Pelodiscus sinensis: one gene and its partners. The protein of the gene in region 1 purifies or fractionates together with the protein of each later gene. This does not show direct contact. Links are inferred from orthologs where the notes say so. Each region holds a gene or a part of one and is shown in the gene's direction. Other genes may lie near its edges.

The links.
Region 2: the proteins of LIN28A (region 1) and DDX28 purify together in Homo sapiens (co-immunoprecipitation; 3 studies listed by BioGRID and IntAct, with this or other methods). This does not show direct contact. The link is inferred for Pelodiscus sinensis from reciprocal best matches to the Homo sapiens genes LIN28A and DDX28.
Region 3: the proteins of LIN28A (region 1) and RBM28 purify together in Homo sapiens (affinity purification with mass spectrometry; 3 studies listed by BioGRID and IntAct, with this or other methods). This does not show direct contact. The link is inferred for Pelodiscus sinensis from reciprocal best matches to the Homo sapiens genes LIN28A and RBM28.
Region 4: the proteins of LIN28A (region 1) and DHX36 purify together in Homo sapiens (affinity purification with mass spectrometry; 3 studies listed by BioGRID and IntAct, with this or other methods). This does not show direct contact. The link is inferred for Pelodiscus sinensis from reciprocal best matches to the Homo sapiens genes LIN28A and DHX36.

Annotation. Positions count from the first base shown.
Region 1 is NC_134735.1:1,938,662-1,946,676, forward strand, and holds the start of LIN28A (protein lin-28 homolog A), read left to right. Parts: upstream 1-5,011; 5' UTR 5,012-5,324; coding exon 5,325-5,355; intron 5,356-6,116; coding exon 6,117-6,301; intron 6,302-8,015. UniProt on the Homo sapiens protein: RNA-binding protein that inhibits processing of pre-let-7 miRNAs and regulates translation of mRNAs that control developmental timing, pluripotency and metabolism.
Region 2 is NC_134722.1:36,993,865-37,001,288, reverse strand, and holds DDX28 (putative ATP-dependent RNA helicase DDX28), read left to right. Parts: upstream 1-4,946; 5' UTR 4,947-5,025; coding exon 5,026-6,675; 3' UTR 6,676-6,912; downstream 6,913-7,424. Other genes in the region: DUS2 (tRNA-dihydrouridine(20) synthase [NAD(P)+]-like), read right to left, coding at 2,352-2,477. UniProt on the Homo sapiens protein: Plays an essential role in facilitating the proper assembly of the mitochondrial large ribosomal subunit and its helicase activity is essential for this function. May be involved in RNA processing or transport. Has RNA and Mg(2+)-dependent ATPase activity.
Region 3 is NW_027465922.1:770,824-777,925, forward strand, and holds the start of RBM28 (RNA-binding protein 28), read left to right. Parts: upstream 1-4,090; 5' UTR 4,091-4,121; coding exon 4,122-4,284; intron 4,285-5,445; coding exon 5,446-5,589; intron 5,590-5,890; coding exon 5,891-5,985; intron 5,986-6,383; coding exon 6,384-6,459; intron 6,460-6,868; coding exon 6,869-6,961; intron 6,962-7,102. UniProt on the Homo sapiens protein: Nucleolar component of the spliceosomal ribonucleoprotein complexes.
Region 4 is NC_134720.1:28,816,593-28,823,750, reverse strand, and holds the start of DHX36 (ATP-dependent DNA/RNA helicase DHX36), read left to right. Parts: upstream 1-4,154; 5' UTR 4,155-4,406; coding exon 4,407-4,607; intron 4,608-7,158.

The DNA of each region.
Region 1 (8,015 bases):
TTTCTGAATGGCCCCTCCGGTCCATACTCAACAAGGTGCCCCCTCTGTTCACTCAGGAGAAGCTCAGAGCGGGAGGGGGGGATATTTCCCCCAAAATAGGCCCTGGGCAAATCAAACAAGTCACAAACTCCCCTGCCTCTGGAAGTTTATTGCCTCTGAAATCTACTGTAACCCCCACCCTGCTCCTGACTCTCTGGGTGTGTCTGCAGGGCAGGGTGTATCTTGAAAAAAGCTATGCAAATAGAACTACGTCAATTGTGTATCTTATTTCAAAATAGGGAGTGTCTACACAGCACTGATTTCCAAGTAGAGCCCTCTTCCTCGACTGCCCTTCTGCCTGGCCATGAGGGGTTCAGGCGTCGGAGTAAGAACTCCTCCAGCTTGACAGTGTTTTGACACTGTTTCGAAATAACTGCCGGCTGTGGCTATGTCTACATTGCACTGATGTATCAGAAAAAGGTATGCAAATTGTGCCCTGCATTTTGGATACCTTTGTCCAATAGTTTTTTCAGAAGAGGCTTTTCTGAAATTTGGGCCATCTACGGCTGTGTATAGACTGCAGGGTTTTTTCGAAAAAAAGTAGCCTTTTTTCGAAAAAACTTCACCTGCGTCTAGACTACAGCTGTGTTCTTTTGAAATTAAATCGAAAGAACACGGCTTTTCTTTCAATGGCGGTAATCCTCATTTCACGAGGAATAACGCCTTTTTTTGAAAGCGTTCTTTCGAAAAAAGGCGTTCTTGAATGCAAACAGGGCTTTTTCGAAACAGAACATCCAGACTGCCTGGGTGCTCTCTTTCGAAAAAGCGGCTCACTTTTTCGAAAGAAGAGGTTGCAGTCTAGATGCTCTCTTTGGGAGAGGCTTGCAGCCTAGAGGTAGCCTACACTGGGCCAAATTTCGGAAAAATCTCCTCTTTCGGAAGAGCCCTTCTTTCTGGCGGGAGGGGGAAGACAGGGCTTCTGAAATCTCTTCCGCTTTTTTTGTTTTGTTTTGTTTTTGCGGAAGAGCAGACCCGTTCCCTGGAAGCCCTGTACCAGCGTAGACACAGCCTGCATAGCCGAGGAAGTCATTTCGGAATAGCGTTGCTGTGTCGACGTACCCTCTGCTGGGGAGGTTTGCTCCCGCCCCTGGGGCTGCATTTCTCCCCCTGCTGGGAGAGTTTGCAGCGGTTGCACGGGCAGCGGGGTGGCGCTTGCCCTTCTGAACCTGCCCCGTGTGTCCTTCAGCCGACAGACGCGGCCAATTATCAACGACCCAACTGGTGCCCATATTACAGCGGCGGGCGGCCCAGGGACTCGATCCATCGGATCCTCTCCTCGTTCAGGGCGCGCCTCAGCCTCACGGGGAGGCCCCGAGAGCTGGCCGCGGAGCCGAGCCCGCCCCACCGGCGCCAGCCGGTCCCTGCCCACGGGCGCTGTCCCCGCCGGCTGCAGGCTACCCGGAGCCGCCCGGGCGAGGGGCCCAGAGGCCGCAGCGCCCCACCCAGCGCGGGGAATGTCTAGCGCCGAGCGCGGCCCAGCGGCTTTCAGCACCAGGGACAGCGGCAGGCGGCCGGAGCCCGCGGGCCAGCACCCTGGACAGCGCAGAACCCCCCAGTTAGGGCGGGACTGACTTCCCCCTGGAGCGGGGCGGCCGGAGGGCGCTAGCTCGGCCCGCGGGCAAAAGGGACCGCTGGCTCGCAGCCCCCGCCCCCGCCCCGTGCCTGCCCGGGGTAAATCCGTGGCGAGGCAGGAGCCGAGCTACGAGCCAGAGACCGGCCTCGCGGTCGCTCGCCCCCCGGCAGCTCCTGTGCGGGGCAGGCTGCAGCCAAAGGGCTCAGCGAGGGGCAGGCGACAGCGGAGACACCCCCGGGGCGGCGGGTCCTGGCGCACAGGAGAGGGAGCAGAGGGACAGCGGCCCATCCGGACTTGGGGGGCTCTTTCGGGGGGAGTCCTGCCAGCCCGGGCGGCACGGCCCCGCGCAAGCCTCTGAGCCCCGGTTCGGTGCCTGCTGGCTTTGGGGCCCGCCGGGGAGGAAGGGCAGGAGGAGGTTCCCCCACCCCCACCCCCTCGGCCCTGCGGAGCTTACAGCTGGGTCGGGAGCAATTGCTCCGCGTGTGGGGGGGGGGGGGGAAGCGCTGGTTGGTCTCTTCCCACCGCAGCTAACCCCGAAAGCGGCGGCACCCGCAGTCCTGCAGGTTCCGCCGCCGCTTGGCAGGAGCTGCCGGCCCGCGGGGAGCTGGCTTTAAGGATCCGGCTCAAATGGAAACGCTCCCTTGGGAATGAAGCGGACCAGGCTCGGGCCGGAGCTGGCATTTCCTGGCAGGCAGGAGTGGAGATGGGTGTTTGGGGTGGGGAGGGAAAACCCTTCTGCGAGTGTTGGGGGCAGCGCTGGAAGCAACGTAACAAGTCCCACCGGCCCTGTCCTATCGCAGCCCGGTCCCTCCAGCGCTTCGCCTGGCTCCCTGCGGGCCTTCTGCCGCTCGGCCAGCTCTTGCCGGAGCTGCGTACCAGGGCGCACCCGCTTCCTTTCACCTCCGCTCCGACCCCCCAGGGAGGAAGGGAAAGGTCCCGTGCGGGCTCGGGTTTGCAGGCAGCCAGGGGCCGGCGAGGCAGGGTGGGGGGACGGGGCGGATCGATTGCAACGGTGCGTCCGCGTGGAGCAGCCCCGGTGTAGACCCGAGACTGTTCCCCGCCGCTCTCCAGAGCCCCCCTTCCAAAGCCGCGCGTGGCAGGTGCTTTGTTGGGGGATCCGGGTCCGGGGGCACCCGAGGGGGGACCTTTGCCTGCTCGGCCATCACTTGGCCCCGGGGCGGGGGGCAGGGCCTGGCTAGGAGGCGCTGTCCCTTTAAAAGCGCAGCGAGCGGCACTGTCCAGTCCGAGGCGAGCGCCGGAAATGGAGCCGAGCCCGGGCGCCGCGCTGGTCACTCGGCCATTGTCCGGGGCCAGCCATGAAATCGCCCCCCGGGGGGGCTGGAGACACCCACCCCTCGAAGCTCGGCTCCCCCCGCCCCTCCCAGGCGGGGCCTTCGGTGCCGGAGGCAGCCCCTCCCCCCGCCCACCCCTCCCCTCCCCCCGGGCAGCCTCAGCCGGCGCCCCCTCCCCCCAGAGCCAAATGGGTCATTTCCGCTCCAAGTCTGTGCGGGCAGCGAGGCGGCCGGAGCGAGCCGGGCGCTCCCAGGGCTACGGGAAGCGCCCCCCATCCCGGCGCAGGGGGCGTGAAGCCCCGGACCCAGCATTTCCCGGGGGGGGGCGGATTTCCCAGCCAAGAGAATCCCTTCTCCGGTGCGCGCCCCCCCCCGAAGGGTTCCCCCTCCTCTGCTCGCCTTGCGCCCCCCCCGTCCGCCTCTGCCCCCCACCAGCCCGGAGGGGCTGAGCGCCGAGTGGGGTTGGGCCCACTGGCCCCCGGGGGGGGCGTTTCAGGGTAACCGGGGGTGTCGCTGGAGCCGCGTGGCTTTCTCCGGCGCTTTCACACGCTCGGTCCCCGGGTCCCGAAGTTTTGCTCGGCCCGCCCCGATCTGCCCCCCTCACCCTTTGTTCCCCAGCCCCGGGAAGGGGGGACCGCGTCGCTCGCTGCCCCGCACCCCCCCCCCCCAACCAGCCGCCTCGCGGCCGTCTCTGCCCCTCCAGCCCGGGGCCTGCAGGAAAGCGCCGGGCCGGTTCGGGCCGGCCAGGGGGCTCCGGGGGACCCGCTGCCCGGCCCCAGCGCAGGTGGTTTCGGATGAGTCCCTGGCGAGACCCGCCCTGCCCAGCTGCCCGCCTGGCTCCGTCGCTTTCCGAGTCGCCCCGGGCTCTTGCAGGAGAGGATCCCCGGCCCCTGCGCTCGGGCACGCCGCTCTCTCCTGGGGGGGAGCGGGGGAGGCGCGGAGGGGAGACCCTGCGAGGCGGGCTGGGGCGGCCGCTCTCATTGTACAGAGGTCAGCGAAAGTCCTGCTGATCATCTCCCCGCCAGAGGAGGCAGAGAGGCTGGGGGAGGGGTCGCAGTGGCCGGGGGGGGGGGGGTAGAGCGGAGAGCAAAGGGGGCTGGGGGGAGGCACAGTGGCGGGGGGGGAGTAGCGTGGATAGCATGTGACCTGGGGGGGTTGAGCAGAGAGCAAAGGAGGTTGGGGGGGGTCTCAGTGGCCTGGGGGGGAGAGCAGAGAGCAAAGGAGGTTGGGGGGATCACAGTGGCCTGGGGGGGAGAGCGGAGCGAAAAGGGGGTTGGGGGGGTTACAGTGCCCTGGGGGGTAGAGTGGAGAGCAAAGGAGGTTGGGGGGGTCTCAGTGGCCTGGGGGGGAGAGCAGAGAGCAAAGGAGGTCGGGGGGGTCTCAGTGGCCTGGGGGGGAGAGCAGAGAGCAAAGGAGGTTGGGGGGATCACAGTGGCCTGGGGGGGAGAGCGGAGCGAAAAGGGGGTTGGGGGGGTTACAGTGCCCTGGGGGGGAGAGGGGAGAGAAAAGGGGGTTGGGGGGTTACAGTGCCCTGGGGGGTAGAGTGGAGAGCAAAGGGGGTTGGGGGGTTACAGTGCCCTGGGGGGTAGAGGGGAGAGCAAAGGGGGCTGGGGGGGTAGAGCGGAGAGCAAAGGGGGTTGGGGGTTACAGTGCCCTGGGGGGTAGAGCGGAGAGCAAAGGGGGTTGGGGGGTTACAGTGCCCTGGGGGGGAGAGGGGAGAGCAAAGGGCGTTGGGGGGGGTAGAGCGGAGAGCAAAGGGCGTTGGGGGGGGGGTTGAGCGGAGAGCAAAGGGGGCTGGGGGGGTAGAGGGGAGAGCAAAGGGGGCTGGGGGGGTAGAGGGGAGAGCAAAGGGGGCTGGGGATCCATTTTTTGCCTCGACAGGTAGTTTCTACCGGGGCTTGGCCCACTGGGGGGGGGGGCTGTACTCGCAGGGTGGCCTCCCCCCGTTAAAACAAAAGCCCCTCTTGGAATGTCTAATTATTGAAGGGGGGAGCGTGGCGGACGGAGAGGGGCGAGCGAGACCCCCACCAGGCTAACCCAGAGCCCCCCCCCCCCTTCAGCAGGGGGCTGGAGCAGGCAAAGGGGGAAAGTGAAACGAACCAGGCCGTCCCGCGGCAGGGCCGAAGGTGACTCCCCCTCCCCACCCCTGGGAGGGGAGAGCTCGGGGCGGAGGGAGGCGGGGGCGAGGCTCCGGGGGCTGCTATTGTCTCTTAGAATTTGGGATCCTTTGAAAGCCCGTGGGCCCTCCCACCGCTATTGTTGGAGTGAAGATGTAGCGAACCTCCCCCTCCCCTCCGCTCCGCTCGGGCTGGAATCTCTTTTGGGGGCCGCGCCGCCGGGACACCCTCCGGGCTGGCTGCAGCGAGGAGGCGCGGAGGGGGAGCCAGGCACGCCGGCGAGGCTCGCGGAGGGGGTGCAGGATGGGCTCTGTTTCCAACCAGCAGTTCGCAGGTTCGGTGCCGCTTTCCCCAAAACTTGGCGGGTTGGCCGCTACCCGAGAGGAGCCGCGCGGGGGGGCGGCTCGGCTCGGGGGAAGGACCCCTGGGCGCAGGAGAGCGGAGCGAGCCCCCCCCTTTGACGGCGGGGAGGGGTAGTAAATAAACCCGGGGCCGGGCCGCAACATGTGCTTCGCTCCGGGGCCGAAGTTGGGGGCATTTTTAAAATCCTCTCCAGGTTGGGTGACTCGCAGCGGGGGGAGTGAAGCGTCTTTCAAAGGCGAGAGCAGCTGGATCCGGGAGGCGCAAACTTTCCCGGGGGGGGGGGCGGTTCTCTTTGATTTGGCCCCTTTGGCGGGGGGGGGGGTCTGTGGCTCTTGGATCGACTGGGGGTGACTCGCCCCTGGCTGCCATCCGCAAAACAAGACACCCCAGAGGAGACTGACCCCCCCGGCGATCACTTGGGGGGGTCCCGCGGGCCGGGTTGGGGCTTGGCGTTTGATTTGCTCCCTACCATTGTGAGGTGGCTTTAGGGGGGGACACCCCCCAGCAAAGGGGCTGGCTGTTTCTCCAAGGCGGGCGCGGAGCCGGCTGGGCAGCAGCGGCCAGGGGGGGCTCCCAGGGACTCGGGGGGTCTCCCGGGGGGAAGGGCAGAGGCGCCCGAGGGAGGCTCGATCATGCGGCCAGGCGCCAGGCGAAGCCCCAGGCCCGCCGGATGGCGAAAGCGGCCGGGCTCCCGCGCCCCCAGCTGAGCGCGTCTCGCGTGTATGGTTCCAGGTGGCTGCGCGAAGGCGGGCGAGGAGCCCGCGGGAGACTCCCCCAAGCCCGAGGGGGACTCGCAGCCCCTGCACGGCGCCGGGATCTGCAAATGGTTCAACGTGCGCATGGGCTTCGGCTTCCTCTCCATGACCAGCCGGGAGGGCCTGGCGCTGGACCCCCCCGTGGATGTCTTTGTGCACCAGGTAAGGCCGGGGGCGGGGGTCTGCGAGGCCGGTGCCCCCCCCCCCCCCGGGGGTTGCGCCCTCCCGCCGGCCCTAGGCAGGGCGCCGGGCGGTTGCAGGCCTAGGGCGCAGGAGGCTCCCGCCCGGGCAGCGCTCTGGGGCCGCTGCCCTGCGTGGGGGGCCGGGGCGTTCCCGCCCCCGTCCTGGGGCAGCATTCGGGGGCCGTTCGGCTCCTGCCCCCCCCCCGCCAGCTTCATCCACCTCACGGTGGGGGGGCCCCGGGCCTCTTGGAGTTTCTGGGGCTTGTGATCGTTCCCCTCAGTCCCGTTCGCGGGGGGCTGGGAGCCGGGGCGGGGGCTCCCTCTGGGGAGCCTGGCTCCAGGGGGATTTCTGCCTGACCCCATTGCCGCCCACAGTGGAGCTGCCAGAGGCTGGGGGGCTGCAGGCAGACAACCTCCTGCTTAAAGGGGACCCCCGTGGGGAGGGGCAGTGGAAATGCCCCAGGCCTGCTTGCATTGGGGGAGGGGCAAGAAGTGAGCTGAGATGTGGGGGGCCAACCCATTAGCTTCTCTAGAAGTCGGGTTCCCACCCCCCATTCTCCATGTCAAGATGGTTTCATCCCCCTCCCCGTGCTCCACCTATCCCGCCTGGGCCCAGCGATAAGGCCCTTCCAGCCCTGGCCTGTTTTCATTCCGTCCCATCAAGAGGACCTGGCTCCAGGCCCCACCAGCCCCTGGCTTTTAACAATGGGGGGGGGGGGTTGGCAGTGCCCACACTGAGTGAAAATCCGTCCCTGTTGCGGTGCAGGGCTTTGTCCTACAGACCAGGCACATGGGTTTGGAGAGGCAGATCTACGCCTGCCAGGCACCGGGCCCTACTCCGGCCGCTACCTAGGCTGAGATTGTTTCTCTTGGACTAGAGAGGCAGAAAAAACCTAACCTCCCCTCCCCCAAGACGTTTCCCAGCCATGCTATCGAGGGAATGGGGTGCAGGGGGTGTGGAGCAGGCCAGGTCTGGGTTTGCATCTGCATGTAACAGGCTTATGAAACCTGCTGTCCAGGCAAAGGCCAGCCTAGGGAAATGGCCGTTGGCTTGTAAAAGGTCCCTGCGTGTGAGGGCCAGGGACTCCGGTAGCCTCAGGTCACGGCTCATGGGGCACAGAGGCAGGAGAGGCTCGGAGAGCCAGGGCCGAGCTCCCAGGGAAGTCAATGGGACCGGGGTACTTTGCTGAATCAGCACTCGCACCGCGGCATAGGTGTGTGTGTGGGGGGGGCTCTACTTTGCTTAGGGTGCATCTCCCCGGCAAGGGGAGGGGTGATTGGCACATGGGAGGCGCACCCGGCTGCTCCAATCTAGCCATGCGGGGTACCAGCTGTACTGCAGATGCAATGCACAGGCTGGCAACCAGGGTCCCCACTCGGCTTACCCTCTGGAGGCTAGTCCGTGCCACCACAAGCCAGCTAGATTCAAGCTAGCACTGCCCCCATCCCCCGCCGCAATCCTGCAGGGTCGGCGCCTTCTTGGAGCCGCTGTCTGTCTGCACCATCTGTGTGCTGGTTCTGCACCTTTCAGAGGCCTTAGCCCCCCTGGGATCAGGGGGAGCCAGGGTCAGCCCCTTCTGCCCGGCCAGTCTGGACAGTGTCGGTTGGCAGTGGGGCTGGTTGAAGAGGGATTGTTGTGGCTGGTGTGAGCAGCGCGTAGGCAGTTGATTCCGGGGGAGCCCCAAAGAAACAAG
Region 2 (7,424 bases), on another chromosome or scaffold:
TCAGGCCACGACTGTGCAGTGTCCAAGTGGAAACTCTGGGAATACTCCGTTCCTTTCATGCTTATATGCTGGTCAAAGCAGCCAGCTGTAGGGGCCATGTGCTTCTCTGAGCATTGCAAGCCCAGAGGGAGGTGGAGGGGGGGTTGCGTGTGCCTCTGCTCCCAGCATAATCTCGCAGCTCCAATTAGCCAGCAACTTCCTGGGCCATGTTTGTGGTACCTGCAGCGCTCAGAAGGCACCTTCCAGGGCTCACAATGCTCAGACAAACACATCATCCCCACAGCCACCACTCTGAGGGATGTGCAGGGGCATGGAAGGCACTGGGCTGCTGGCTGGGAGCTGCCCAGGTAAGTGCGTCCCAACCAGAACTTGCACTTTATACTAGGGATGTATGCGAGCAGTCAAGTCAACTACTTAACTACTTGCATCTCCCCACTTGCTACCTCTGTATCAGAAGCAGCAAGGGGTTGGGAAGCAGGAGCCGGTGGGCAGCCAGCTTAAAACCTGGCTCCTCACAACACCATCTCCACGGTGCTGCCTGCCCTCCTCCCACACTGGAGCAGCTGCCCCTGCCCCGTGCAGGGTGGGCGGGGCAGGGGTGGCTGCTCCACATCCAGCAGAGCAGACCCTATCTGCATCTTCCGGGGCTGTCCACGAACAGGAGCTGCTTCAGCAGCAGCCCCTGTCCTTGGGGGATTCCAGCTCCCCATTGGGACCCCCTGTGGACAGTGGCTGCTGGACCTGGCACAAGCTGGGACTGAGCAAGAACAGCTTGTGCTGGTCTGGGATCCATCCCCACTGCAATTCTGCAGTTTAAATGTAGTAGGAGCCAGGCTGCCTGCCTGCCTGCCCGGCTTATTCTATATTTAAACTGCAGAGGTGCAACAAGTGGTAACTCCGAGCATTCCTCCCTTATCGACTAATTGAGTAGTCAACAGAAATTCTATCAACTGCACGATTAGCTATTTACTTGCGTCTTAACATCCCTACTTTACAACCTCCCACTCCCCAATCTTCTGCTCCCCCATGATAGGTCATACCCCATACCCTCTGCACCCCCGCTCCTGCATCCATCCCTTTCCTGGACCCTGCACCCAAATCCCACCAAACTTCTTCACCCAAACTTCCTCCCAGAACTCACATCACCTCCTGCACCCCAACCTCCTAATCTGAGCTCCCTTCTGTACCCAACCTCCATCTCAGACCCCACACTTCCTCCATTAATATCACTGCAGATTGTGATCCTTGATCATTTACCAAATCCTTGGGTAGAGGTGGGCAATGATTTTTATGAGGGGCCGGCCATTCCAAGCACCCAAGACATGAGTCATGGGGGTTGCTCTTTGGCATAGGCTTTCAGCAAGGACTGCAAACCTGAAAGCCCAAGGTTTGCAGCCCCACAGCCCCAAGCAGTTGACAGGCCAGAAATGATTTCAGTTACCAACCAGAACGGGGCAGGACAAGATGTGGCCCAGGGGCCGGATCCAACCTGCCTAACACTTGGATTTGGCCCCAGGACTGTATCTGGTTGCTTTGTATTTATATTCTGCTCCCTGTGCCACCAAATTTCCAGGAGGTGGCTCAAGCAGCAAGATCCCATGGCTCGTGGCTTCCAATTGCAGTGCTACCTTGCCAGGGGCTGGAGCTGTGAGCCCTTTAAATAACTGCAGCAACCTTTGGCGGCTGCCAAGCAACGCGGTAGCAGCGGACCCGCGAACTGGGAGCCCTTTGATATGTTTTTAATTCAAAGCCTTCAGCTCCAAACAACTGGGGGAGGGGTTAGTCCCCAGGTCCCACCCCTTCCACCCTAGACCATGCCCCTTCTGAGGTGGAGCTGGCCTGTGAGCAGGTACCAAAATTCACTAAGTGGTCCCTGTGCAAAAATTATTGCCCACCTATGAACTAGAACTGCTGACAACAACTATTAATGCTATTACTGTAATACTAAAAGTATTACAACTAACACTATTAAAACTAAGGGAGCACTTGCAAACAAGTGAATGTTATTCCAATGCCACCACAGATGGTAAGAAGAAACTAAAGGAGGGCTGGGTCAGAAAGGTCATATATAGAGTGCCATAAGGGTGTCACTCTAGGGGGCTCCTCAGCCCATCTGATGAGGGCTGCTAAGGGAAAAAGTTTCCATTGTCCTTGCATGCACACTTGATTGGAATCGATCTGAACAAGCACTCAAAAAATAAAAGTCTACATATGAAAGTTTGTTGACCATACAGTAACAAGATTAATCCCTTTAACATCTATGAGGATATGCCTACTGAGAAACCAATATTTTTCATGTTGTCATCACATGGTAAGAAAACAGAGCCTCCCCATCGCCTTAGCCTTCATACCTCACAGTACACAATATCAGCACCAAAATCCAAAGCCAAAAGACGCATGGGTAATGTTCCAACCCGCACCATGGGAGCCAAAATGTTCTTGCCTCCAAAACAGAGTGCTGGAATGTTCACAGTCATTCCTTTTGTGGTATACTCTGAAACAAAACGCAAAACAAATGAGAGAAACATTTTCTCTACCAAGGGACATGTAGAATCAAAATTTCCTTCCCCCACAACCAATGAAATTCATGGGCTTTTTTAAAATCCACCATTTATTACTAAAATAAGTTGTCAGGTTGCTTTTTCATTCTGATAGAAAATGGATTTGGTTAATGGACGAATCCCACATTTTCTCAGATTATTTTATAAGGAATAAGGGTAATTTCAAAAGAAGGGGTTTCTTTTGACACCACCGCATCTCGACAGCATTTCTTTTTCTGAAATAGGGTTTTTCAAAATAGCGCCCGGACGCGATTATGCAAATGAAGCATGGGAAATTCAAATCCATGCTTCATTTGCAATTTCGCTCCGCTGCATTTGCATTCCTCTCAAAAGAGGATTGCAGCGTAGACAGACCGATAGAGTCCATATGGGTGCACATGACAAAATTCATTCTGCACATGGCCAATCTGTGGTGGGGATGGGTGAGGGGTTAGGAGTGTGGGAGGGAGCTCAGGGCAGGGGACTTCCATGATAGATTGCACCCTCAGCAAGTTTGCAGATGACACTAAGCTAGGGGGAGAGGTAGATACGCTTAAGGGCAGAGATAGGGTCCAGAGTGACTTAGACAAATTGGAGGATTGGGCCACTAGAAATCTCATGAGATTCAACAAAGACAAGTGTAGAGTCCTGCACTTGGGACGGAAGAATCCCAAGCATAGTTACAGGCTAGGGACCAACCAGTTAAGTAGTAGTTCTGCAGAAAAGGACCTGGGGGTTACAGTGGATGAGAAGCTAGATATGAGTCAACAGTGTGCCCTTGTAGCCAAGAAGGCTAATGGCATATTAGGATGCATTAAGAGGAGCATTGCCAGCAGATCCAGAGATGTCATTATTCCCCTTTATTTGGCTTTGGTGAGGCCACATCTGGAGTACTGTGTCCAGTTCTGGGCCCCCCACTACAAAAAGGATGCGGACGCATTGGAGAGGGTCCAGCGGAGGGCAACCAAAATGATTAGGGGTCTGGAGCATATGACCTACGAGGAGAGGCTGAGGGATTTGGGTTTGTTTCGTCTGCAGAAGCGAAGAGTGAGGGGGGACTTGATAGCAGCCTTCAACTTCCTGAAGGGAGGTTCCAAAGAGGATGGAGAGAGGCTGTTCTCAGTAGTGACAGATGGCAGAACAAGGAGCAATGGTCTCAAGTTGTGGTGGGAGAGGTCCAGATTGGATATTAGGAAAAACTATTTTACTAGGAGGGTAGTGAAGCATTGGAATGGGTTACCTAGGGAAGTAGTGGAGTCTCCATCCCTAGAGGTGTTTAAGTCTCGGCTTGACAAAGCCCTGGCCGGGTTGATTTAGATGGGATTGGTCCTGCCTAGAGCGGAGGGCTGGACTTGACGACCTTCTGAGGTCTCTTCCAGTTCTATGATTTTATGATAAGGGGATGGTTGGATGAAATAACATGATCTTGGTAACTAATTGACCATTCATTATAGGGAACTTTCTGGGTGTCTGGCTGGTGAGTCTTGCCCACATGCTCAGGGTTTAGCTGATCGCCATATTTGGGGTCAGGAAGGAATTTTCCTCCAGGATAGATTGGCAGAGGCCCTGGAGGTTTTTCGCCTTCCTCTGTAGCATTGGGCACAGATCACAGCTGAAGGACTCTCTGCATGTTGGGGCCTTCAAAGTATTTGAAGGCTTCAATATTTGAGACATAGGTGAGAGGATTATTCTAAGAGGGGTGGGCGAGATTCTGTGGCCTGCACTGTGCAGGGGGTCAGACTAGATGATCATAATGGTCCCTTCTGACCTTAAAGTCTATGAGTCTATGGGGTGGTGGTGCAGGGTCTGGCAGAAGTCAGGGTACAAGAGGGGGCTCGGGGTTGGGATACGGGGTCTAAAAGGGGGACTGAGGCAGCTCCCGTTTGGTGGTGGTGGGGAACGGGTGGCCCCCTGCTGCCCCGTGCTCCCCTAGGAGTCCTGGCCAGCGGGAGCCGCGGGGTCAGCGCTTCCCGGCGCTCTGAGGGAGGCTCCCGCCGGGCGGAGGAGACAGGGCAGCGCTAGGAAGCCCCAGGCGGGGCGGGCCCAGAGCACAGGGACGTTCCAGACGGGGACGCGGGGCTGCTGCCCTGCAGGCGGGCCAGCGCCGATCCCAGCAGGGAGCCCCGTGGTAGGCAGCGGCGCAGCCCAGCGGGAGCCCCGGGGCAGAGGGAAGGCCCCGGAGCGGACTCGGTCCCCGCGGGACAGCCCGGGGGTGGGGCGGAAGGATCCCTGGGCGGCTGAGGAGAAGGGGCGCGGCCCAGGGAGCAGCAGCGACCGTGGAGAACCGGCCCGCGCAGGGATCCTCAGGCTGGAGCCCTCCGGCTAACCGCCCGCTCACCTGCCAACGGCACCTCGCGCAACTCCTGCGGCAGCCACCTAGGCCGGCTCGGCTCCCAATGCGCATGCGCCCCTCCCCGCACTCGTAGCACACGTCATCGGAGGGCGCCTCTTTTCCTTTCCCCCACGTGGCCGCTGCGCTGCCGGGATGGCGCTGCGCAAGGCCGGGGCGCTGGTGCTGGGCTCCCGCCGGGCCGCTGCCGAGCCGCTCCTCCTGCTGCGCTGGGTGCAGGGCCCGGCGGGCGGTGGCGGGCAGCCCCCGGAGAACGTGGTGCGGATCCCCCGGGCCTTGCAGCTGCGGCTGGCTGGGAAGCCGCCCAGGCGGGGCCGCGGGGTGCCGGTGGTGCCGGCCCGGGCGGGGCAGTTGCTGCTGCGGAGCCGGCGGCCGCAGCTAAGCCAGCCTCGCTGCCTGACAGTGGGGCGCTGGGAGCGGCCGCTCCTGGTCTCGGCGGGCTGGAAACATCGGCGCTCGTGCGGGGACTACTTCCAGCTGGAGCGCTCCCACAGCCAGGCACCGGCCCTGCAGCCTTCCCTGGCCGACCGCGGGGATGACTCCTTCCAGGCGCTTGGGCTGGAGCCGGCACTGGTGTCGGCCTTGCAGGCTCTCTCCATCAGCCAGCCCACGGTCGTGCAGCGCCGCTCCATCCCTGCCCTGCTGCGCGGGGGCAATGCGCTGTGCGCTGCCGAGACGGGTAGCGGCAAGACTCTGGCCTACCTGCTCCCCCTATTCCAGAAACTTCTGGCCCGGCCTTCACTGGGCCCATCGTGGCCACCCTCCCCTCGTAGCCTAGTGCTGCTGCCTTCCCGGGAGCTGGCGGAGCAGGTGCGCACAGTGGCCGCATCTCTGGGCCGTCCGCTGGGATTACGGGTGCGGGAGATTGGTGGCGGCCGGGGCATGGCCAGTGTGAAAAACCAGCTCCGTTCCGATCCTGATGCTGATTTGCTGGTGGCCACGCCTGGGGCTCTGTGCAAAGCACTGCGAAAGAGGATGGTGAAACTGGAGAAGCTATCCTGTCTGGTGCTGGATGAGGCTGACACCTTGCTGGATGTCACTTTCTTGGATCTCGTGGAGGAAGTGCTTATGCAAGCCCCTATTGCCCACAGTCCCAAAGAGGTGGCTGGCCAGTGGGACACCAAAACCCAGCTAGTGATCGTTGGGGCAACCTTCCCTGATGGGCTAGGACAGCTGCTGAGCAAGTTCACCGACCTAGGCCGCTTCCTCACCCTCACCAGCAAGAACTTGCACCACCTCCTTCCCCATGTCCAGCAGAAGTTCATCCGCATCAAAGGCAGCGACAAGGTGTCTGAGTTACTTCAGCTCATCAAAAACCCTGGTCCGTCTAGTGGAGCCATTCTCGTCTTTTGCAACAGTGCTAGCACAGTCAATTGGTTAGGCTACATCCTAGATGACCACAAAATCAAGCACCTGAGGCTACAGGGACAAATGCCTGCAGCGATGAGAGCAGGAATTTTCACTACCTTCCAGAAGGGAGAAAGGAATGTCCTTATCTGCACTGACTTAGCCTCCCGTGGACTGGATACCAGCCATGTGGAGCTAATAGTCAACTATGACTTCCCTTCCACATTACAGGACTATCTCCATCGTGTGGGGCGAGTTGGACGTGTGGGGAGCAAGGTGCCTGGGACAGTAGTTAGTTTTGTAACCTATCGTTGGGATGTTGATCTGGTGCGGAAGATAGAGACTGCAGCCCGGAGAAGGACTAGTCTCCCTGGAATGAAGTCTGCCATTAAGGAGCCTTTGCCTGAAACAGACCTGACTCAGGCTGACAAACAATGAAATTGTAAAGCCCAAATTGGATTTAGGGTGCCTTCTATTGAAGGCCAAGTCTGCTAAACTTAATTTTGTGAGTGAGAATGGGCAAAGAAACAACATAACGAGAGTGTTCCTGCTTGGTTAGTTACTGGCAGGTGCACACATGCATATCCGGATGAACTAATACTTCATGGTTTTCTAAATCTCAATAGATGTAATAAAATCCACAACTAATAAATAAGTTTCCCTTCTGTTTAGTAAGGGCTGTGTTGCATTTATTCTGCTCCTGAAATCTTGACTTTTCATTTCATATAAACAAGGCATGACTTGAAGAAAATAGGTATTCATGTGGATTTAATATAGTACAGGAGAAGATATCAGTGCATAATAACTAGTCTCCATTATCCTCAGGTAGGCAGTGATTATTACATGCAACTTATTTAAAAGTTGCAGAAATAATTGATTCCTTTAGAATGTTAATATACTTTTTTGAATACATTATTTCATGAGTGTAGATGTTTGACTTGATTATTAAAATTAAGTCCTGTGTATCCACAGAATAGGTAAAACAGCTTGAAGGAATGCATACTTTCTAACTTTGGTTTGTTTTCTCAACCTTCATGTGGAAATACTCAAGTTTGAAAGTAACTTTGTTTTGAGGTCTTTCAGGAAAGTTGAGACCAGCTGTTTCTAAGGGAAAGTTACAACATAAAATAGGAAAGGAAAATATCTCTCAAGCTTGGTTTCTACATCACTTTTAGGTTCCCTTCCAG
Region 3 (7,102 bases), on another chromosome or scaffold:
TGCTCCCACCCAGACCCCGCAGCTCCTCCCTGCCCTACTCTCTGGCAGCCCTATGCCGCCCACCGAACCCCTCACTTTTGTCCCCACCCCAGAACCTCAGGGGGTTCCATAAAATCCACCAGAACAGAACGTCTGGCCCGTGGGAAGCCCCGACCCTCAGTTCTCCCTGCCCCCCTCACGCCGTGGGGCTGGATCGCCGGAGGACTGAGGGTCTCGCTTGGGGGCCGCCTCGGTGGGGGTTGGGCGTTTCGCTTTTGCTTCTCACTCGTGGGCTCCCCAACTGATTTTTCGGTGGCTCTACGACCCCTGACCCTTGTGACATGGGGGGGGCTGTCTACGCCAGTGGCCCTGGGCCCACGCCGGCGGGGCAGGCACTGGTGGCCGTGTTGGGCTGGGCTGCCCCCTACTGGCCCGTGTCTGTAGCACGGCCCGGCGAGGGGGGGAGGGGGGGGGGGGCTGAGCATCGGCATGTAGACCATGACCAGCCAAGGTTTCTCACCCGGCCAGGGGAAGGGTTTGAACAAAGGAAGGGGCGCGGCGACCTGGGGGGATGGGTGTTGGGTGATTTTTGGGAAGGGGCAGTTTTTGGCTGGGCAATCATGAAGAGATGAGACTAAATCCAGTGGGGGGGGCTCAGGGGCCTGTGGACCCCACCCCAAGGGGTCTGAGGCTGCTGCCCCCTTACTCCGATATCCACATCGAACCCGGGCTGGGCTGCATCTCAGAGAAGCAAATAAACCTTCTACTCCACTGGCTGGCGGCGGGGCCAGCTGGACAGCTGCCCAGGGCACCAACCTATGGGGGGCGCCTGATGGCGGCTGTAAGGGGCGCCGCGCCCCCAGCCACGCAGTGCCCCTTAGAGCTGCCATCAGGCACCACACGCCGGATTGCAGCTGTCAGGTGTGCAGTGCACCGGGGGCAGAGCCGCGCCTGCATCGTGTGTTTGCTGCCCGGGGCGCAAGACTGGCTCGAGCCGGCCCTGGCTGGCGGAGTCGCATCTGGCTACGGACGGGGGTGCAGGGTCGGGGGGTCTCGGACGCGCCGGGACACCCCACATAAATAACAGAACCATTGAAACCTTTTGTGTTGGACGTAAATGAGTATTGTATGAAGTTTGATAAAGGAGCATAGAGTGTGAAAACACTTAGTCGGTGTAAGAATCGAAATGAACCCGTTCTCCCTGGCGGCCGCGCCAGCAAATGGCTGAGGTATAATTGTGAGTTTCCATTAGCAACTGGCGGTCCATGGAGAGGTTTCCATTGAGCCGGGGGTCGCTGAAAGAGAGGTACCCCGGTGTGACGGCGCGTTGGGGGTCCCCCGTCTCCTGCACCCCGAAATGGCACCAACAGACTGCACCAGCCGGTGGAATAGAGGGAGTTTATTGCCTCTCCAGGATACAGCACAGCACAGATGTAATCTGGTCACAGAGCTGGGCTAGGATGCCTCAGCCCCCCTTGAGATGGGGGAGACCGGGCCCCTAAACTCCAGCCCCTTTCCCTAGGCTGTCTCCTCCATGATTCCAGCCAGCAACTAACTAACACTCCTCCAGCCCTGCCCCCCAGCCAGGGCAGCATCCACCTTCCTTTGTTCCTCTCCATGGGGGGTGTCTGGCCATAGTGGTTTGCATAGTGACTCATCCTGTTTTGCTGGGTCGTGGTACCCACGGCAGCCAGTGGGGGTTACCCCAGAGCCAGCAGCATAGAAACCAGCCAGGTACCCCCACTACGTCACACCCGGCCTCGCCCCCCGAGAGACCTCCCCCGACCTTCTGTTGCTCCAGAAGAGCCCACAGAGAGAGCGCGGCTGTTACCACAACGTGAAATCACCGTGTCGCTCTGCTGTGGGTGACGGACGGACTTTCTGTGAGTTTTCCTCATCCAAGCAGGTGGTGATTTTAAACAGGGTGTTAAGAAGCCAGGTGAAAACACTCGGTGCATCCCCAGAGAGGCAGGATGTATCGTCTCTCTCCGGAGGGGGTTCTCATGCCTTGTGTGTGGATGAACAAGCCCTTTGTGAGCTCGGAAGAGGTAAGACGTTTTGACTTCCAGCTTCAAGGGATTTGTTCTTCTGTCTTTGGGCTGCACGTTGCCGAGACCGGAATGGAATTGGCTGTGACAACTCATTTGGGAGCTACTGTGACACAAGTTGAAATCTGTGCTAATGACCCTGCGGCCAGTGAGAGAAAGCGCTGCTGTCACAAGAAGTCAATGCAAAGTCTCTGCAATTTCCTTCAAAGATCGCTACCAGGCCGTGGGGCTTTGACTGACGGGTCCCTTAGATTTGTGATGGGTGACTAAATGTTAACTGGATCTTCTTGGGCAATATCAACAGATTGTTTAGGGCCCAATCCGAGCTTAACATTTAAATCGGATCAGGCCCTTTGTTAGCAGTCTGGGAAGTGGTCTCGTTTGGCAATTATGATTAGATATTATTTACATAACTAGCCAAGAGCCCATCATAAGACGGGATTTTGGGGTCTCTCCTCCACGTCTCTCTCTCTCTCCTCCACCTCCTGCATCCCCCCCCCTCTCTCTCAGCTCTCCTCCGCCTCCTGCCTCTCTCTCTGGGTACGTCTAGACTACTTGCCTCTGTTGCCAGAGGCATGTAGATTAGGCTACCAGACATAGGAAAACGAAGCGGCGATTTAAATAATCGCCGCTTCATTTAAATGTACATGGCTGCCTCGCTGAGCCGACAAACAGCTGATCAGCTGTTTGTCGGCTCAGCGCGATAGTCTGGACGCGCGGGTGTCGACATCAAAGGGTATGTCTACACTACCCCGCTAGTTCGAACTAGGAGGGTAGTGTAGACATACCCAAAGGTATTTGTCGACCACCCAGGTATGCCTCCAGTGGCCGTTTGGGCTCTCCCACGGCGGCCCGGCTGAGCGGCGCAGAAGTCAGCCAAGTGCCACGGCAGGAGGCGAAGGATGTGACTCAGGCAACAGCGCCGCCCAGAGGGAACAGCCAGCATTTCAGCGTTACAGAGTCACAGACATTGGGCTACTATCTATATGATACAGGTACTGCCATCATGGTACCGACACAGACATATCTCAGTAGCTTTACATATAAAATAGCCCAGCCCCATTGACCTCGTGGGCAATGTACCATGCAAACAATGGTGGGGAGGGTTAGTTACAGGGTCCCCTGCACCCCGTAATTGGCATGGGTCGTTTAGTATTGTCGTTCTGGCGTGTGGAAACGGAGAACACTTGATAGTTTTGCAATAACTTCAGAAAATGCAGTTGCAGGACGTCTCACTAGGGATGTAAATTCTCATTCATCAGTTACCCGGTTAATATCAGGTCACACCGGGTCTGCCCCGGCTCCCAGCCTGCTCCGGCGCAGCCCCTGTCCACAGCAAGCGGGACCCTTGGAGAGAGGCTGCTTTGGACACTGGCGCAGCCCGACTGTGGGGCCCAAGAGACAGGGGCTGCTCCGGAAAAGAGCCGCCCCTGGCTGCAGAGGGTCCTCTGAGGGGCGCAGCAGGTGGGGAGCCAGCCCCCTGCGAGGCACTGTTAAGAGGACGAAGGGAGCCGTCCCATGACATTGTGGGACCGTTCCGGATGATCCCCAGGCCCCGAGGCCAATGGGGCGGCATCTCCCTGCCAAGTAACAGGGCTGAGACCCTGGACCCCTCTGGGATGGAGGTTGGGCCCCAAGCGCTGCAGCGTCTGGGGCCTGGGTTAATGCAATTGCGGGACAGCTGCATGGGGGGCTCCTATGGGGCCCAACCCATCCCTCTGAGGAGTTCTTGGGGGGGGGGGGGAGGTCACATGACACCCTTTGCTTCTGGCCATGTGTTCATTTGACCCCAGAAGTACTACCCCAGGGACCGGACTTCCTGTAGCAGGTGGGCGGGGCTTGTGGGATCAGGGGCGGGGCTAGGGTGTCAGGGGGCGGGGCTAAGGTGTCCCTATTTTTTGGTCATTATTGCCAGTGGGTGAAACTGAGGTCAAAGTTCAGGCCCGTAATGCCGGGCTGCCCCCCCCTCCCCCCCCAGCCTGGGCACAGCCCCGCCCCCCCCGCCCAGCCTGGGCACAGCCCCGCCCCCCGCCGGAACCCAGCGGCGGCCCCGCGTTTCCGGCCGGTCCCCGTTCGCGGCCGGACCCGGCCAAGATGGCGGCGCCCAGCGGGCGGCACGTGCGGGCCGGAGCCGGGGCCATGGCCGGGCTGACGCTGCTGGTGCGCGGCCTCCCCCCCTCGGCCCGCGGGCCCGGCCTGGAGCGGATCTTCGGCCAGCTCGGCCCGCTCAAGCGCTGCTTCGTGGTGACCCACAAAGGTGGGGGGGGGCTGGAGCCGTGGGGCGGGGGAGGTGTCGGGGAGGGGGGCTGGAGCCGTGGGGCTGGGGGGGGGTGTCGGGTAGAGGGGCTGGAGCCGTGGGGCGGGGGAGGTGTCGGGGAGGGGGGCTGGAGCCGTGGGGCTGGGGGGGGTGTCGGGGAGAGGGGCTGGAGCCGTGGGGCGGGGGGGGTGTCGGGGAGGGGGGCTGGAGCCGTGGGGCTGGGGGGGGTGTCGGGTAGAGGGGCTGGAGCCGTGGGGCGGGGGAGGTGTCGGGGAGGGGGGCTGGAGCCGTGGGGCTGGGGGGGGTGTCGGGGAGAGGGGCTGGAGCCGTGGGGCGGGGGGGGTGTCGGGGAGGGGGGCTGGAGCCGTGGGGCTGGGGGGGGTGTCGGGGAGGGGGGCTGGAGCCGGGGGGCGGGGGGGGTGTCGGGGAGGGGGGCTGGAGCCGTGGGGCTGGGGGGGGTGTCGGGGAGAGGGGCTGGAGCCGTGGGGCGGGGGGGGTGTCGGGGAGGGGGGCTGGAGCCGTGGGGCGGGGGGGGTGTCGGGGAGGGGGGCTGGAGCCGTGGGGCGGGGGCGGTGTCGGGGAGAGGGGCTGGAGCCGGAGGGCGGGGGGGGGTGTCGGGGAGGGGGGCTGGAGCCGGGGGGCGGGGGGGGCCGCAGGGGTGTCGGAAGTTGGGTGCAGGGGGAACCGGCAGTCGCTGTGGGGTGGGGGTCTAGTCTAGAGAAGGGGGGGGCAGCCGGATCCGTGGTGCGAGGGGCTGGGGCGCAAGCCTGAGGAAGCAGGAGCCGGGCGGGGGGGAGGAGAACAGGGTTAGCTCAGGGCAGGGGAGCTGGGTCTGGTGGGAGGGGGCAGGGCTGCCGTGGCGGGGGTGGGGGTCTGCACCTGGACGAGCTCAGGGGAGTGGGGGAGAAGGCGGCCTCTGGATCAGCTGGAGTCTCCCTGAGTTGTTTGGGCCCGGGAGGGGAGCGGGTCCTTGGCCTGGGGGGACCCTGCCCCCGCCAGGCCTCCTGTCCCTCTGTGGGCCAGGCCCTGGGCCGGTATCCTGGTTTCCTGAGAGGGGGCCTCCCCTGGGCGAAGCCTGGTGCCCTAGAAGGCCCCGAGCTCCCAGCCCTTTGGCAGAGCCTGGGTCTGTGGGGTGCCGGTCATGCTGCCCCTCTCTTGCAGGCAGCGAGACCTGTCGTGGGTTTGGCTACGTCACCTTCTCCCTGCTGGAGGACGCCCAGCGAGCCCTCCGGGAGGTCACCGCCTTCGAGGGCCGTGCCATCTCGGTGACCGTTGCCAAGAAGAAGCTGAAGGAGAAGCGGCCTGGTGAGTTGAGAGCAGCCTGGCTCTGTGGTTATGGGGCACCGCGGGCCACGGGCTCCTCTCTGTGCCCACGGCCTGTGTCCTTGGTTGTGACCTCTGGGGTGGTGATGGGACGGGGGTTCCCCTGCTGTGTCCTGACTCGTGCTGGGTGTGGTTTTTTTTTTTGTTTTGTGTTTTTTTGTTTTTGTTTTTTGTTTTTGTTTTTTGTTTTTTTTGTTTGTTTTTTTTTGTGTGTTTGTAAGTAAGGGAGCCGTGGGGCAGAGGCGCCCGAGCAGCCCTGCCATGCCGTGCTCTCTGTTCCCAGGTGCCCCGGAGACCCCTCCAGGGGAGCAGAAGCCGAAAAAGCCGAAAGGGCCCCCCAAGAAAGCCAGGCTGATCATCCGCAACCTGAGCTTCCAGGTAGGTGGGCGAGCGGGTGCCTGGCGCGCGAGGTGAGGTCGCAGCTGGGGGCGGCGCTGGTGCTGCCTGTGGCTGGTAGCCACAGCGGCGCAGCGAAATGGGGGGAGCTGGCATGTGACGGGCAGCCGCTCGAAGCGGGTCCCGGGGTTTGTAACCTGGCACCGGCGCTGCCTTTCTCTTGGCAAAGGGTGAAATTCGCGTCGGAGCCCGGCCGAGCCGCGCGTGGGCGCTAAGGGCACCCTCTCGCCCGAGGGGAGCCCCCGGTCCTACCCAGCTCCCCACGGAGGGAGGGTTCCAGCTGGCAGGGCACTAGGTCGGCCTCGGTGTGCTCAGTTCCCTGCGCCCCTCCTTGCTCAGCCCAGCCCCTGCGCGGCTCTGACACGGCTCCTTCTCCCCAGTGCTCCGAAGACGACCTGCGGGCTCTGTTCTCGCCCTTCGGCGCCGTGCTGGAGGTGAACATCCCCCGCAAGGCAGGTAGGGCTCAGCCGCCTGCTGCTCCGCGCAGGGCCAGTCGGATCCAGGCTGCCGCGGGGCGTGCAGGGGGCTTGTCCTGGCCTGTGGCCTCTTAGCCCCCAGCCTGTCGGTCAAGCCCCGTTTGCGACAGGTGGGGTGTGCTGCCCCCGGCTGCCGCCTCGTGAGCCCCTGTTGGGTGTGGGCTGTTCCCCGGGCCTTGCGCCGCGCCCCGAGCGCAGCGTCCCCCCACCCCCAGCGTTGCAGGAATCCAGGGTGGGGGGAGCTGCCTCTGCCCCCGCCCCCCAGCACTCCTAGAACAGACTAAGCTGCTGGGGCCGCAGGCTCCCCGAGCGTATCTGGGGGGGGGGGTGTGGAGCCCGGGGCTCCCCCCTCCTGGGCCCGGTGAGCTCTGAGCCGCGGTGTCTTGCAGACGGGAAGATGCGGGGCTTCGCCTTCCTTCAGTTCAAGAACATCCTGCAGGCGGGGAAGGCCCTGAAAGGGATGAACATGAAGGAGATCAAAGGTGAGCGGCCCCGTTCCTGGCCTGCCCTGCGCACGGGGAGAGTCGGCGGCCTGGGGGCTCTGGGGGCGGCTCGCCCGGAAAGAAGCTCGTGCTGGCGCTGCCGCTCGGTTCCGGGGCGTCCTGCGCGCCTGGCCCCGGTGG
Region 4 (7,158 bases), on another chromosome or scaffold:
TCATCTAAGATGACTGGCTGGCCCCTCCCCAAATACAATCTTCAGAGGCAAGGTCTGCAAAGACCCCCTCCATCCCTGTCCTTAAAATCTATCTTAAAATTGAGGGAGTTGGCTGCTTCCAGTTCTGTAGTGGGGCCGGAAAAGCTCTTGCTCCTGTTGTCTGCATGCCTGGGACTTCACAGAAAACAACTACATACAGAAACTGGGGAAATGTATGAAATGTACTAAGTTTGTACAGTGATGACTTTGAACACTCCTACTACCCTTTTAAAGATTCCCTTTTTAGTTAAAGGGATATATGGCTATAAGAACTCTGGAAAGAGAGACGCATTCTCAAACCCAGTGCTCCAATAATTTTTAAAATCACGAAAGCAACATTTATAGATTGTGTCCAGAGTTGTTTCCATCACAATGTAAAACATGAACCATTAAAAGAGAGTGAGAGAGAAGGATTCAGTTATGAATTTGTCTGTTTGTGAATTATGTAATCAAGCAGCTACTGCCAGATGCCCCCGTTATGTATCTGGTTTATTTTCATCTTGTTTTCAGAGTGCTGTCTCACTATTATTTTATGTAACTGAGTGCTAGAATTGTAAGATTAGGCAAGGGTAAACTGTAGCATTGAGATTAGGGAGGAAAATTAGTCTATGAGAACAGACCTGTCTTAAGAGGTGTTTGTTAACATGGAACAAATTGGGAAACTAGTGCACTGGACAGCTGGTATTTTGGAGAATCAGAATGATAACTTTTAAACTAATATAAGAAAACATACATTGTGAAGAGTGAAAGACTGACAACCAAACAGAAAAGGCAAAGAATGCTGCAGAGAAATGAGATCCAAGAGCCATTTATAGCATCACAATGTTACTCAAGGCAACAAAAGGAGCATTAATGAACAGTGAAAGACTAATAATCTGAAAGGATGAATTTAACACTTCAGAGAGCTTGGATAAAATATACTACACAAAGCAGCAATCCACACAGAACTAGTAGCTTAAATGTAGATAGAATATTAAAAATATAATAGAAACATCCATCCTGAGCCATGATATTTTTATAAGATTTATAATTTAACAATAAATCAGAGAATTACATTTCATACTGCTCCTTCCTCCACACTCATAATATTAATAGCCTCAATAAGGGGAAGTGTAAATAAGATCTTCAGTTGAAACTAGAGGGCATATTTTGAAGATGGTAGAATGTAACTGCTCATATTTGTATTTAGAGATGACTCTGGCATTAATACCTGTACTCTTGTGCAAAGTAATATTGAAATCTTTTCTAACTATGGGGCATGGATTATCTTTCACAAAAGTTGTCACCTCTGACAGGATAGCTCCCTGAAAAACTATTCTGGGAATGGAACATTGGTTTTGTACAATATTACAGCAAGGTGTGTCACCTATATGGAAAATCAGAAATGGGTTAGTGTTTTAAAACGTTTGGAAATCTTTAAGTTGACATTAGCTGTCTGAACAGAATATTTCTCTAAAACATAGACAGTCAGAAATGTATATTAAAAGTAAAGACAAGTACCCCATCCAAAGCTTTGAGCCTGGATTTTAGCTGAGATGGCCAAGTTGTTTGACCTAAACTGTCCAAATAAATCTCTTAGATAGCCATTATGCTTCAAAAACCAACTACAAACTGTGGAATTGGCCTTCACGTGCAAATTTGACACTATTTCTCATGCGCTGAACAAAGACATGAACTTATATTCAACACCCAATTGACATCAATAGCTAAGTATGGGACACTTCCAGCCCACTCAATTAGCCTCATTAGCACCAGCACCACAAGTGACAGGTATTTTTCCCCTCTCCCATCTTTTTCTGTTATAAATTGTGAAGTTCCCCTTTTTTTCTCCACCTTGCTTATCTGAGGAAGTGGGCTTTACTTGCAAAAGCTCATGATACACCCTCTCTCTCTCTCTAATTTCTATGTATGTGTATATTAGGGACGTTAAATTTAGATTAATTGGCTAATCGAATAGTCAACACAATTTCCCCAGGACTGCTGCTACATTTCAAAGGCAAAAGTGCTGCGGGGAGCACAGGGCCAGCGGGAGACTCAGGCCCCCACAGGCTCCATGCTCCCCACAGCATTTCAAAGCGGCAGTGTCGCATGGAGCTCGGAGTCAGATGACACCAGGCTCCATGCACTCCTGCCATTTTGAAACGCCACATACCACATGGGCTAGCCCCGGGGTGCACATGGCATTTCAAAGCAGCAGCACTGCACGGAGCCCAAAGTCTAGCTCCAAGCTCCATGCGGCACTGCTGCTTTGAACCACCCCTCCTTTATTCCTCCTCCCCACTTTCTCTTTCTGATAGAGGCAGCAAGGGGGAGGGAAGCATTTGCTTATCAGATAGTCGACTAGTCGTTCACATCCCTTGTGTGTATATATGTGCGTGTGTGCGCGCGCACATATATATATTGTTAGTGTCTAAAGTGCTACAGGACTACTTGTCATCATTCTGTTTCCATCAGCCAACGTCTTTTAACAGCAAGGCTACCCAAGCAGAATATATCTGCTTTTGCTGTTTTCCCTGACAAGTTTCTCCATGCCTGATTAAAGAATTCTCTCAATTTCCTTCTTTTTTAGGGATGTTTATTCTTCCACCAAGAGTTGCTAAGTAGTGCATGACACGTCCCAGTGTGATAGAAGATCAGTTATGACAATATGATGAACTAGATGTATGCTGTTTATTGCCCAGATAAAGTGGCACCCCTCAAAGCCACTGTCCTAAATCTATCAGACCTATTCTATATTTTCAGTTTCAGAGAGGTAGCTGTGTTAGTCTGTAACTGAAAAAGCTTTAAAAATAATTAATAGTCTTGCAGCACCTTAGAGACTAACAAAAATGTAGATAAACTTAAAAAACAACAAATAGTATGGTAGCACTTTAAAGACTAACAAAACATGATTGTAGATGGCATCATGAGCTTTCATGGGCACAGCCATTTCTTCAGCTGACTGGAATGTTGTATAACCAAAACCAAAATAAATAGTGGGAATAGGGAGAGAGAGGAAGGGAAAGGAAAAAAATGGGAAGGGGGGGGAGGAACAAAAGGAGGTAGTTGGTATATACATAAAGGCTGTGTCTAGACTGCAAGTTTTTTTTGAAAAAAGTAGCCTTTTTTTGAAAAAACTTCACCTGCATCTAGACTACAGCCGCGTTCTTTCGAAATTAAATCGAAAGAATGCAGATTTTCTTTCGACAGCAGTACTCCTCATTTCATGAGGAATAACACCTTTTTTCAAAAGTGCTCTTTCGAAAAAAGGCGCTATGTAATACAAACTGTGCTTTTTCGAAAGAGAGCATCCAGACTGCCTGGGTGCTCTCTTTCGAAAAAGCAGCTTGCTTTTTCGAAAGTACTGATTGTAGTCTAGATGCTCTTTTTCTAAAGAAGCTGTTTCAAAAGTATTTTTTGAAAAAGCCTCTTTTGAAAGAGGCTTGCAGTCTAGACATAACAAAGGGAAAACTGAGCTGGTATGTAACAGGCAAAACGGATCATCTAAAAACCGGCTAGTTAAAAGAAGCATATAAGGACCATTAGTTTGCAATTAGAGATGTAGTTGTATCATGCGTTTTTGTTTGCACAACTCACTTCTTCAGATGAATGGAGTTTAAGGGATTCAGTTTTCAAATCAATAGCACAGAAAGAGTATGAAGGGGAAGAAGATGAAAAAAGGGGAGAGGGAGTGGAAAGGAACAAAATTGTCAACCTGTCCCTGCTAAATGAAGCTGATAAGATACTTAGAGTGGGTCCTACATTCCACACTCTAATGACATAGGACACAAACAGTACTTCAAGTGGGCCCTAAGTATTCTTATCAGCCACAGGACTAGCAATGGGATTGAAGGAACCACCACACTTCACACTCTTCTGACTGCTAAGGTTGGACACTCGTGTAATCTGTAGGTTTCAGAGTTAACACTGGAGGTAGATAGGATTGTCCTCCTAGGTCCTGCAGCAGGAATTGCCTTGCGCACGTTGACAAGCACAGCACTATGAAGGCAGCAGTGGACGGGCGTCATGGCAGCTTAACGAGCTCATTGGTGAGACAACCACGACGTTTCGCGGAGCAGAAGGGGGCGCCTAGGTGCTACCGGGACTAGAACCCGGGTCTGTCTTCTTACCAGGCAGGCAGCCGGCCTCCGGGAACGCGTTCACCGCCGCCCCGCCCCCGGAATGAAGAGGCGGCGCGTGCCCGGCTCACACACCTACAGGAACGTGATGGCAACCGTCATAGGGAAGCGCCGGCGTCCTAAGAGTCGTTGGGGGGTGGACCGGAAGTGAGGCGTGGAAAGAGCCGGTGGGCTTCCGGTTCCGCCACGCACTGCTGCCGGCTTTCAGCGGCTGCTCCCCGCCCCGCGCGGCGACCCGAGCGGAGGAGAATGAGCTTCGAGCACCGCAGGGACTGGAGCCGTGGAGGGGGAGGCGGGCCTCGGCCTTCTTCCTCCTCGGGGGGGCACGGAGGCCGGGGAGCCGGCGGCGGGGGCCGGGGGCGGCATCCCGGTCACCTCAAGGGCCGCGACATCGGGCTGTGGTACGCGCGGAAGCAGGGCCAGAAAAGCAAAGAAGCCGAGAGGCAGCAGGTAAAGGCCGCCGAGGCCCCTCCCCCGCCCGGGCTCCGTCTCTTCTCTGGCCCGCGGGACGTTTCCTTGGCAGCGAGGGGCCCATTGTCCGCTACTGTTGTGTGGCCTCTCGGTCATGCACCCGCGCACCCCTAACTCACTTGTGAGCCCCTCGGGGCATGGGCTCAGCAACTGCTGCACAAATACTGCAGTCAGACCCCTCCCCCCACTGTGTGGGTAAAGAAAGCTCTTGATCATTGAGCTTTCTTGGGTGCATGGCAAGGTGCCTGCCAGACAGGCATGGTCAAACCAAGGGTCCCACTGCTTAGCATCCTGTCTTCCAACAGTGGCCAATGCCAGGTATCACAGAGGGAATGAACAGGGAATTCCTAGCTTCTGACTTATGGAGGCTAGGGCAGTGGTGATCTACCAGTAGATCTTGGAGCCTCTGACAGGTGATTTTGACTGGTTTGGCCAGGAGGCTGTCAAGTGCAGGCACTTCAGCTGCCCCTCTCCCCACTGCTGTGCAACTCCTGCCCTTTGCCGTAGAGCTTTCCCCCTATCTCCGCAGAATGGGGGTGTGGAGCTGCTTTTGACAACAGGACTTGGGATGGAGGGCGTTTGCTGGCTGCTTTTGTGAGTGGTGCAGGGCCAGGGCAGAGGTGAGCCTGCCTTAGCTTCACTGCACCACCACATAGAAGCCACCTATGGTAAGCAATGTCCCTCTGGAGTCTGCATCCTGAATCCCTGTCCCAGTCATGTACCCCCTCCTGCACCCCAAAACCCTACCCTAGCCCTGAGCGGCACCCCCACCCACCCAAGCTCCCTTACAGAGCCTTACTCCGAACCACCTCCTGTACCCACAACCTCTGCCCCAGACTCAGCTCAGAGCCCTTCTCACACTCTAGATTCCTTAGTCCAAGACCAAAGCCTGCATCCCAACCCTCTGCCCCTGCCTGATGAAAGGGAAGAAGGATGGGGGTGGGAGGAAGGATGGAGTGAGCAGGAGTTGGGCCTTGGAGAAGAGGCCCAAAGGAGGTGAGACAAAGGTATTTGGGTTTGAGGTAGATCCTAGATTGCACTTAACTTCAAAAAGTGCTCTCATACTTTAAAAGGTTGGAGACCACTGGGCTCGGGACATCATTCCTGCCCATCCTGGCTCATAGCCATTGATGGACCTATTCTTCATGAATTTCTGGCCCTTTTTTGAAACCTGTTATAGTCCTTCACAACATTCTTTAGCAAGGAGTTTCACAGACTTGCTGTGCATTGTGTGAAGAAATACTTCCTTTTGTCTTAAACATGCTGCTTAATTCATTTGATGATCTCTAGTTCTCATTATATGGAAAGGAGTAAATAACTTTTCCTTATTTAATTTCTCCACACGAGTCATGAATTTATAGAGCTCTATCATATCCTGCTCAGTGATGACTTTTCCAAGCTGAAAAGTTCCAGTAGTATTCATCTCATATGGCAACTTTTCCATACTCCTGATCACTTTTGTTGCTTTTTTCTGACCCTTTTCCAATTCCAGTATTTATTTTTTAAGATGAGGTGGCCACATCTGTATACACTATTCAAGATGTGGGGACACCATAGATTTATATAGAGGCAATATGATATTTTTTGTCTTATTTTGTATCCCTTTCTTACTGATTTCCAACATTGTACTTTTTCAACTGCAACTGCACATTTCAGGGACTATCCACAATGACTCCAAGATATCTCACTTGGAGTATTCTAGGCAAGAATGGAAGAAACTAATCTATGTTCTGAAAATATGTATAATGAAAAGTTTGGAGACACGAAGCAGACAATATAGTTTTAAAGGTTTTGCTAGACTTTCCCTACCGCAAAAAACCCACCCTTCACTGTAGAAAACAACCTATCTAAGAGATGACATGCTATATTCATTTTGCTGATCATTGAACCTGGATTAGGGATGTTAAAATGAGGAGGTTTTTTTAATAAGCATGTTACTGCTAAAAAATTCACCAATTACACATTTACACGTGGGGGGAAGCCACTCTGCAGGAGCCCGTGTGCGCAGGGAGCCCTCCTCCCCACCCCGCTGCTGCCTCTGCTTGGCTCCCCATGCATGCCACGCTGCTGCCTTTGATACAGCAGCAGGAGAGGGGGTGTGTGGTTTGCATGTAACTATGAAGGTTAACTGATGAGCCCAGACAGACACTATCCCATCCCTACTTCAAACTTTTCTTCTTTCAGCCATTCTCCCCCAGATAGTCATGCAAACTCCAGAAAACCCTAAAGGAAGGACTCCTGTGTCTTGAAAGCTAAATGTTTAAAACCAGGAGCAGGTAGCATGGGAGAACACTTTTCATATTTGTGCTATTTTTTCATCCCCATTTTTAAAAGCTCCACTGAAGAAATGGGGGATCAGGTCTTTGCTCCTGTACTTCTGCAGCAGCAACAAAAAGAGCAGTATCAGGAAAAACTGAGAATTATCAGGGTTGCTTTTTTCTGCTATGAGAAGTACTGTATGCCACAATACAGGTATTTCTGATAATGCTTCTCTGTAATATTTGTACATCTCCACAGGTGCAGAGAAGAT